3 linked regions of the Macaca fascicularis genome follow. The protein of the gene in region 2 interacts with the protein of the main gene of each other region in a biochemical or structural test. Links are inferred from orthologs where the notes say so. Each region holds a gene or a part of one and is shown on either strand. Other genes may lie near its edges. The genes, in order: NEK1, LRRK2 and CHGB.

Region 1 (3,660 bases), on a different chromosome or scaffold from region 2:
GACTTAAAGGACTTCAGTCAGTAAAAGTATATCACAGATCAGTAAAAGTATATGACAAAGTTAATATTATTATTGCTTAAAAGTAATATAGTTCCCATGTAGATTTCACAAAACGGATGTGATGTAAGCTGAGTCATCTACATGTATCATCTTGTTTTTCTCACATTTATTGAAAATTATACAGACATGTGAGGAAATCTTACCTTCTTGGTAGGCTCCATCTGCCATGACTAAATGAAGAATCTTGGCATAAAGATGCTGATGTTCATTTCCCAAAATATTTTGAACTATTTTTGAACAAATTTCAATATTTTCATCTTCATCTTCATGAATAGCCTATACCAAATTCCCAAATATAAATTAGTATTTGAATAACTTTCTCTAATTGTAGACTTCCCTTTTTATTTATAATAAATCTAATGACCAATAAAGATCATTAACATTTCTCTAACCTTCAAACAGAGCACATTTTAAGTGTTTTAATTGACTTTTCACTTACCTTTATTTTCTCGTAAACCTCAAAGAATTTTTCAAAGCCCATTTCCTGCTCCAGATGAAGTCTCAGTTCCTCTAAATGGTTAAAGACACTATCGTATTCACATTCACTAGCATTTTCCCCATCACTGTTATCTAAAAAATAAAATTAAAATAGATATTTTGATTTAAAAAGACTGAATAAGATAACTCTTACCCTAATAGACTAAAATTCTATGACAAATGAATAATGCCATTGAAGTAGACTACTTCTACTTTCATTATAAACGGTTTTTGTCATTTTAATATTTGTCCTTTATTTGGTAAAAATTATGTATAAATCTGTCTAAACAAGAATGTTACTTTTCCTTTATAGATATAAAAAATAAGTCAGGATGGAATCAAAACACTCCTAGAGATGTTACTTAAATGAATAAAAAAGTGGAAAAAGCACACCTCCATATTTTGCTTTGAAGCAGCTAACCCTAACTACAAAAGTTGGTAATAAATGTGGGCCATACCATGGAAAAGCCTGCAGAAGGTAGACAACCTAAGACATACATCATTACATTTCAGGAAAGCACCTGGAAAGTATAAATGGCCAACATGTTTTGTCATGTACATGCTCAAGATACTTTGAAAAAAAACATTACTTAGTCTTTTCACATTAGCTTTTCTTCCTAAATTAACATAATATAGTTACTGAAATAGACACACTTTCTATGCATCTTAGGGGTAATGTTATGAAAGAGCAAATTTCCAAATTTATGAAACGAGTTTTTAGTACTTTAAAAACTGCTTTCAGTGTTAACCCTGCTGATTAATATATGCAGAAGCTCTTTCTAAAATATAGAATGACAAGAAAACAATGTTATTATCTTTATTACTGGAAAAATCAGTCAAGAAATGGAGATTAGAATAAAAATGCTTCAAAAAAGCATTGACATAATAGTAAAGAAAAAAAATTTAATAAAAAAATGGAAAATTGGCCGGGCGCGGTGGCTCAAGCCTATAATCCCAGCACTTTGGGAGGCCGAGGCGGGTGGATCACGAGGTCAGGAGATCGAGACTATCCTGGCTAACATGGTGAAACCCCGTCTCTACTAAAAATACAAAAAACTAGCCGGGCGTGGTGGCGGGCGCCTGTAGTCTCAGCTACTTGGGAGGCTGAGGCGGGAGAATGGCGTGAACCCGGGAGGCGGAGCTTGCAGTGAGCCGAGATCACACCACTGCACTCCAGCCTGGGAGACACAGCGAGACTCAGTCTCAAAAAAAAAAAAGGAAAATCACATATTTGTATGAAAAGAAAAAGAGTGAAAAATGGGAGAGACCCAGAGGCATGCTTCAGTTGTATTTAAAGTTGGAAATGGTCCACAGCAGAGATTAGAAAACTATATTCCACTTGAAATATCTGTAAACTGAAAAAGAAAAAGGTCCAAAACTCTGATTATGCACCTGAGTGCCATTCTTCGTTCAGGGCACTTTCACTGCTGGGATTGTCATCTTCATCCGCCACATCTGTCCCATTTGCAGTTGGCTCCACATCGCTGTTCTTTAAGACTGACTCTTCTTCTTCACTGTATTCTTCACTAGGTTGTTCCCTAAGTAACTGTTCCATTGAGGCCTGCAGCTCTTGTAAATCTGTGTCAGTTTCTTCAAACACACTGAAATTTAAAAGGTTTAACTGAAAGTTTCAAACATACTGAAATTTACGAAGTTAAACAACTAAAACTACCTCATGCTGAAATGTTACTTTTACTCAATATGTAGGCACTTCTACTTTAAAAATCCTAATAGATAACAAAAAATCTGGAAAAAACCTACATTGTTTTTCACCAGTAAGTTGACGATGAACACAACACATATTCTGGAATACATAAGCCAGAAGATGATTTGTTTAAATGATCCCAACTTGCCAAAGAGAATCACATAACTATTAATGTTACTCATTGCTTAAATTCTGAAACAATGTTTTGATATTTTAAGAGGCCAGACTATAGAAGTTTTTCTAAAACAAATAATAGTAAATTATTTTCTCTTTTATGGAATTCTGTAATTTTCAAAATATCCATGTGGCTAATAGCTAGACACTATACAAAAGGCTTTCCATATAAATGCCCATTGGGCATTTGAACTTTTAGAAACAGAAATACTTAGGAAATTATATATTCATGTTAACAGGATGACCCAGTGAATAAAATGGTCACCAGAAATCTTATCTTTAGATGCTTATTCTTAAAAATGTTCTAAAATACATAATAAATAGATTTTCTGTGTAACTACCCTATACCAACCATCATAATTCTTCACTGGAGAATCTTGTTTCTAAAGTATTGGTCAGAATATTAATTCTGTTTTCATGGGATTATAGATGCTGGAATGAAATAAGTCACATAAATAATACCTTACATTTATATAGAACTTTCGTTTTTTAAACAGTTTTATCCTATTACTCAAATTTTATCCATAAAAAATCACTTTAGAGACATGAAAACTATGAACCAAAGTGTTTAAATGACTTGGTCAAGGCCACATAGTCAGTAAATGACAGAGCACTGAAATCTAGGCCTTTGACCACTTCTGTAATATCCAAGGAACATACTCAGAAATTTTTTTTGCCTTTTGTGATTTGCTTCTTTCTTCTAACATGGAATGTAAATGGAAAAGTTTGTAGACTAAAGGAGTTAATTGATGTTTTAGATGTCTGAAGACTTCTGAAAGAGATTGTGAACCTAAGCCGAGGATTTCATCTATCAGGAAGGCAATGCTTAATAGAACACAAGGGCTAATTAAGGCTTTTCTAAGAGTTTAGACTCAAATCAAATATGTACTGAAGAACTAAAATATAAACACTATTGTGCAAGACTGTCAATATAATTTCCATTAAGAGAAAGAGTAAATAATCTTTTTATGTAGAAATATCTTCATTTTGTACTTATATATACAAACTCCTATAATTTGACTTGTAGGAGCTATAGAAAATCTAGGCATCTAATTAGAATGAGAAAATAGTGTCTAATCTCTTGACTCATCCCACTAGTAGCATTTAACTTAACATACAATTACAAGACTAATTTAGGCTGGGTGCAGTGGCTCACGCCTGTAATCCTAGCCCTTTGGGAGGCTGAGGCAAGAGGACTGCTTGAGGCCAGGAGTTTGAAACCAGCCTGGGCAACATAGCGAGAC
Region 2 (3,660 bases):
ACATCGAGAGCAAACCCATTTTTACATGTGATATAAATTTATAATTTATCTTAGACATGTTGATATATTAAAATATAGAGAGATATAAAGATGTTAGTTTGTGTATATAAATTAAGAATTCATTTCAATATTTAAATTATTGATTGCTACTGTTTTTAAAAGAGAAATTAATAATATATTAAAAAGTGGGCCGGTAGCACTGGCTCACACCTGTAATCTCAGCACTTTGGGAGGCCAAGGCGGGGGGATCATGAGGTCAATAGATCGAGACCATCCTGGCCAACATGATGAAGCCCTGTCTCTACTAAAAATACAAAAATTAGCTGGGTATGGTGGTGCACTCCTGTAGTCCCAGCTACTCAGGAGACTGAGGCAGGAGAATCACTTGAACCTGGGAGGCAGAGGTTACAGTAAGCCGAGATCAGGCCACTGCACTCCAGCCTGGCAATAGAGCAAGACTCTGTCTCAAAAAACAAACAAAAAAAAAAAAGTGAACTTAACATATCAATAATGTTTAGTTCAAATTCATGAGATTTTAATCTCTATATTATTAATCCCAAAATATAATCTCTAGTCTATTCCTGCACAGCATTGTTTGGCGAATTGTTGGGAAAAGACTGAGCTGACCACATCTAGAGCTTTGTACGTATTCAAGAAACGTTGCATAATCTCCATTTGGCAGTTGGAGGAACTGAATGAAGCCAGTCTTCAATTCTCTGCCAGTCTTCCTCCTAATCACCCTGCCCCTACCTCTCCCTGTACCATTCCCACTCTTCCTGACTTTGACACCACGGAAGAAATTTTTCTTCAGAACTGGTAAGTCTTTGGAGAGAAAAGGCCTTGAAAAAACAGAAATCTGTTTTGCAATCAATTTTTGCCGGGAGTGACCTAATACACTCCACTGGAGAGAGCAGTGTGTCTATCTTCTTCACAACTGCATTGTTTCTGGCCTAGAGGAGGGGCTTAAAAAACATTTGATGAATGGAAGATGAATGACTGGATGAACAAAGTGAGTGAATGAGTAAGTGAGTGAGTGAACAAATTTCCTGTATAAATATTTATGTAATTTAATTTGAACAGCTGGTTTGAACAGGAATATGACTAGATGAGTTTCCCAAACACTCCCTGAGGTTATAGACTGGCTCATCTTTGGACATCTTGGAAATTCTCAACCAAACCAAGGGACACTTAAAAGTTACAATTGCTAATTACTGGTATATTCTGAGTAATTCCTCATCAAAAGCTGTATACTTTAGAACTGAAACATAGAATTACAAAGATTAGATTGAAGATGAGAACTCCAATTAATTGTAAATATGCTCTTTCCAAACACACCCTTTATGTACTGAAAACAAGAAGAGCAACACATTTGTCAAAGAGGGGAAAATGTATAAGCACAGATATGTTCACTTATGGCCAAACATATAGCTCTAATTTGTCTAAATTTGCAGCACTACTTGATACTGATCACCAATATAAACACCTAAAAATTTTTCATAAATTAAATTTTCATAAACTGTATACCATTGTAAGCCAGATATATTCACAATTTCCTTTTCCGTGGTAAAGAAAAGTCACATTACTATAAAAAAGATTTAAAGTTAATGACAGAAGGTTTGTTTGTTTGTTTGTTTGTTTGTTTGTTTGTTTTTGAGATAGAGTCTCACTCTGTCACCCAGGCTGGACAGCAGTGCTGCAATCTCGGCTCACTGCAACCTCCGCCTCCCAGGTTCAAGTGATTCTCCTGCCTCAGCCTCCCGAGTAGCTGAGAAGATATTTTTTAACTGTCAAGAAATAATGTATTTTCCTGAAAACACATTCTTCTTCAGAAAAGGTTTTCTTAATTAATTGTGGCTAAGGAAGTAGTCTCATTTAAGAAGTCATTATGCTGCAAACTGCAAAAACATAGCTGGTAAAATTGTCATCAAGATTTGGCTGCAGATGTGCTGAAAGGTAATTTCCTCTTTCTTACTCTTTTTGAAAGCCGTAGTTTAAACTTACTGTGTATATATATGAATATATATAAATGTACCATTTAAAGACAGAACATCAACTTTCAAATTACTACGTACAGAACTAACTTTTCTCAGTTCCCATTTTTTTAGGAACTAGTGGTTTGTATCAGTTCTATTATTAAAGGGCAAAATATCTTCATGGTTTGAATGCAAAAGTACTCATCAAAAATCTACAAGTTAACCAGTTTTATAATTATATGATTATATTATTAAAATAACTCCTGACATGTTACCTTAAATGTTTGCTTTCTAAATCAAACTTCTGAGTTTAAAGCTCTCTATAAATGTAAATCATTGACTCAAGGAAAAATATCTGTATTTCAAAGAATTTCACAAGAGTAGCCTTGGATTGCAAATTCAGTGTGTCAAAGGGAAGGTTTTTATGTGTATAGATAAATACTCAAGGCAGTTTGTTTTTACATATCTATCATACTTACTGGTGAACACCAAGGACTTCCCAATCATTTCCAACATCCTGGGGTCCCATTAAGCTTTGCATTGTACCCGGGCAGATTTCTATTAATTTGCACAGAAGTGACCAACCCACCTGAAAACAAGAAAGACATATATTCACGTGTTTTAAAGAATGTTAATAGAACATACTGAGTCAAACATGAATCTCTTCAGTCTTAGTGGAATATATGCTTATCTCACTTGTAAATAATTGTTATAAAACAAAATGATACCCTAAAATGCTTACCAAGAAACAAAAGCAAGCCATATCCTTAGGATACACCTTTCTCCAAAAATCAAACCAGAAAGACATACAAAAAATATAACATTTCGGCTGGGCATAGTGGCTCACGCCCGTAATCCCAGCACTTTGAGAGGCGGAGGCGGGTGGATCACGAGGTCAGTAGTTAGAGACCAGCATGGCAGAGGGTGAAATCCCGTCTCTACTAAAAACACAAAAATTAGCCAGGCATGGTGGTAAGGTTACAGGCATCTGTAACCTCAGCTACTCGGGAGGCTGAGGCAGGAGAATCACTTGAACCCAGGAGGCAGAGGTTGCAGTGAGCCGAGATTGCGCCACTGCACTCTACCCTGGAGGACAGAGCAAGACTCCATTTCCAAAAAAAAAAAAAATATATATATATATATATACACACACACACACACACATAAATATATATAATTTCTAAATTTTGAAGAACATAGACATGCCTATTGTCTAAGGCAAAATAAAATAAACTACAAAAAATAGTTTTAGAGGTTGTACCAAGATTATTAAGTGCAAGAACGGCTATACTGGATCCTTAGTACGTTTCTTTTCTTGTTTTTTTTTTTTTTTTTTGGTTTTGATTTGTTTTTGAGATAGGGTCTCACTCTGTCACCCTGGCTGGAGTGCAACGGCGCAATCACCGATCACTGCAGCCTAGAACTCACGGCATCAGGTGATCCACCCACTTCAGCCTCCCAAGTAGCTGGGACTACAGGTATGTGCCACCACACCCAGCTAATTTTTAAAACATTTTTGTGAAGACAGGTCTCTCTCTATATTGCTCAGGCTGGTCTCAAGCTCCTTGGCTCAAGCCTTCTGACGTGGCCTCTCAAAGTGCTGGGATTACAGGCGTGAGCCTCCGCACCTGGCCCTTAGTAGGTTTTAAGTAATAGCTACCTGACAGAATTTCCTCCACATATTTAA
Region 3 (2,371 bases), on a different chromosome or scaffold from region 2:
TGGCAGCAGCAGGGAGACCTGCAGGACACTAAAGAAAACAGGGAGGAAGCGAGGTTTCAAGATAAACAATATGGCTCCCATCACACAGCTGAAAAGAGGAAGAGATTAGGGGAACTGTTTAACCCATACTACGACCCTCTCCAGTGGAAGAGCAGCCATTTTGAAAGAAGAGACAACATGGATGACAATTTTCTCGAGGGTGAAGAGGAAAATGAGCTGACCTTGAATGAGAAGAATTTCTTCCCAGAATACAACTATGACTGGTGGGAGAAAAAGCCCTTCTCGGAGGATGTGAACTGGGGGTATGAGAAGAGAAACCTCGCCAGGGTCCCCAAGCTGGACCTGAAAAGGCAGTATGACAGGGTGGCCCAACTGGACCAGCTCCTTCACTACAGGAAGAAGTCAGCCGAGTTTCCAGACTTTTATGATTCTGAGGAGCCGATAAGCACCCGCCAGGAGACAGAAAATGAAAAGGACAGGGCTGACCAGACAGTCCTGACAGAGGACGAGGTACAGTGTGGGGCTTCTGTTTAAAATTACTTACTTTGGTCAATGTTAGCACATTATGTTCAAGACTATCCGATATTAACGGGGAGAAATTGGTGGGAATTAATCACTATGAAAATGGTGACCTAGTAACAGAGTGGAGGCCACCTTGGGGGTCGGTTTCCACCTACCTTTAGCCATCGTCCACATCTTTGCCCACCTCACTCGGTCGCATTGCTTCTCAACCTTGTCCGCACACTGGGGTCACCTGGAGAGCATGAAAAATTACTGTTAGAGATTCTGTCTACTTAGTGCCTGGAGTGCTGCCTGATCATTAGAATATTTTAAAGCTTCCAGATGATTGCAGCGTTCAGCCAAGGTTGACAACTACTGTTCTGGTATCTTTCCCTTGGTCATCTGTCTGTTCATCACTCTCTCCCTGAGGTAGGGAGAATAGGTGATAGAGAAGTTTACTTGCTTTAGTTTGCTATCTTTATTATTTCATGCCCTACTGCCGTCAGAAATTTATATCTGGGAGAGGTAACACTGTTGGAGCTGTACCTACCCAAACAATGTTTTTTTCCTAATATTGATTAGGTAGGTTGTCCTTCTCAAAGTTGAATGTACATCGGGATCATGAGGGATTCCTAGCCCCCAGAGTTTCTCATTTAGTAGGTCGCAGGTGAGACCCCAAACTCTGCATTTCTGACAAGTTCCTGGCTGATGCCACCGGTCAGGGGACCACACTTTGAGAGTTACTGATGTAGGTTGACTAATGTAGCTTCCAACATGCCTAAAATTCCCCTTTCCATTCGTACTCCATCCAACTATAGCAAAATAAATTGGTTCGGGACCTCATGCCTCCACTTTTCTGTATTTTCCAGAAAAAAGAACTTGAAAACTTGGCTGCAATGGATTTGGAACTACAGAAGATAGCTGAGAAATTCAGCCAAAGGGGCTGACTGTCACTGGAGCAGAGGGCACTGTTAAGAAGCAGCCCTCACATGATCTGTTTTTCACCACTTCACTGAGAAGACACCATTTATCTATCCAAGGACAGAAAGTAGAACTTACTATTCGTTAAATGTTTGACACAATTGGAAATGTCTTTAATTTTTGCCAGAATGCTATTGAAAATGTTAATTGCATGACTTGTAGCATATTCTTTTCCGCAAAATAGACATATTAACATGCTTGTGACAATGACTGTGCTACTGTCTTTGGAAAAATGTTTGTCTCAGTTGCAAATAATAAAAGATTCACCTGAGACCAAAAGCTTCATTGTTCTCAGCTTCTTTTGGGCAAAGAGGGAGGAGTGTGACTTTTCAAATCTATTCTTTGAAGTAAATTGCAGAAGATGGCTCTAGGATTTGTTGGGTTTTGGATGCATAATAGGATACAAAAGCAAACCTTTTGAAGTAATGTGCAGGATATAAAGAGAAATAGATTAGAAAAAGATATCTACTCCCCTATGCTGAGAGAGATTACAGGGGCTTTAAGAACCTCTTTCAAAAACAATCATATGATATTACTTAAAAAATTCCTTTATGTAAAGAGCTCTAGAAGTAGCCAGCCGAAGTTCATTTTTCAGGGCTTAGAAGAAAGCTTGGATGAGGGGAAGAATTCCAGGGTGGAAGTGAAAACATCTGGCCTGTCCAGACAGATCTCTGGCCCCTCAGGTCTTGTCGGATTTCTACTCCTTAAGAAGATAGAGGCGGCTGGGCACGGTGGCTCACACCTGTAATCCCAGCACTACGGGAGGCTGAGGCAGGCAGATCACGAGGTCAGGAGTTTGAGACCAGCCTGGCTAACATGGTGAAACTCCGTCTCTAATAAAGATACAAAAAAAAAAAAAAAAAAAAAAAAGCCGGGCATGGTGGCGGTC

Evidence for each region.
Region 1: the proteins of LRRK2 (region 2) and NEK1 interact on a protein array, tested with the Homo sapiens proteins (2 studies listed by BioGRID and IntAct, with this or other methods). The link is inferred for Macaca fascicularis from reciprocal best matches to the Homo sapiens genes LRRK2 and NEK1.
Region 3: the proteins of LRRK2 (region 2) and CHGB interact on a protein array, tested with the Homo sapiens proteins (3 studies listed by BioGRID and IntAct, with this or other methods). The link is inferred for Macaca fascicularis from reciprocal best matches to the Homo sapiens genes LRRK2 and CHGB.

The regions. Positions count from the first base shown.
Region 1 is NC_088379.1:174,218,286-174,221,945, forward strand, and holds part of NEK1 (serine/threonine-protein kinase Nek1), read right to left. Parts: intron 2,139-3,660; coding exon 1,930-2,138; intron 631-1,929; coding exon 500-630; intron 337-499; coding exon 204-336; intron 1-203. UniProt on the Homo sapiens protein: Phosphorylates serines and threonines, but also appears to possess tyrosine kinase activity. Involved in DNA damage checkpoint control and for proper DNA damage repair.
Region 2 is NC_088385.1:46,716,705-46,720,364, reverse strand, and holds part of LRRK2 (leucine-rich repeat serine/threonine-protein kinase 2), read right to left. Parts: intron 2,563-3,660; coding exon 2,453-2,562; intron 1-2,452. UniProt on the Homo sapiens protein: Serine/threonine-protein kinase which phosphorylates a broad range of proteins involved in multiple processes such as neuronal plasticity, innate immunity, autophagy, and vesicle trafficking.
Region 3 is NC_088384.1:81,397,878-81,400,248, reverse strand, and holds the end of CHGB (secretogranin-1), read left to right. Parts: coding exon 1-510; intron 511-1,370; coding exon 1,371-1,448; 3' UTR 1,449-1,761; downstream 1,762-2,371. UniProt on the Homo sapiens protein: Secretogranin-1 is a neuroendocrine secretory granule protein, which may be the precursor for other biologically active peptides.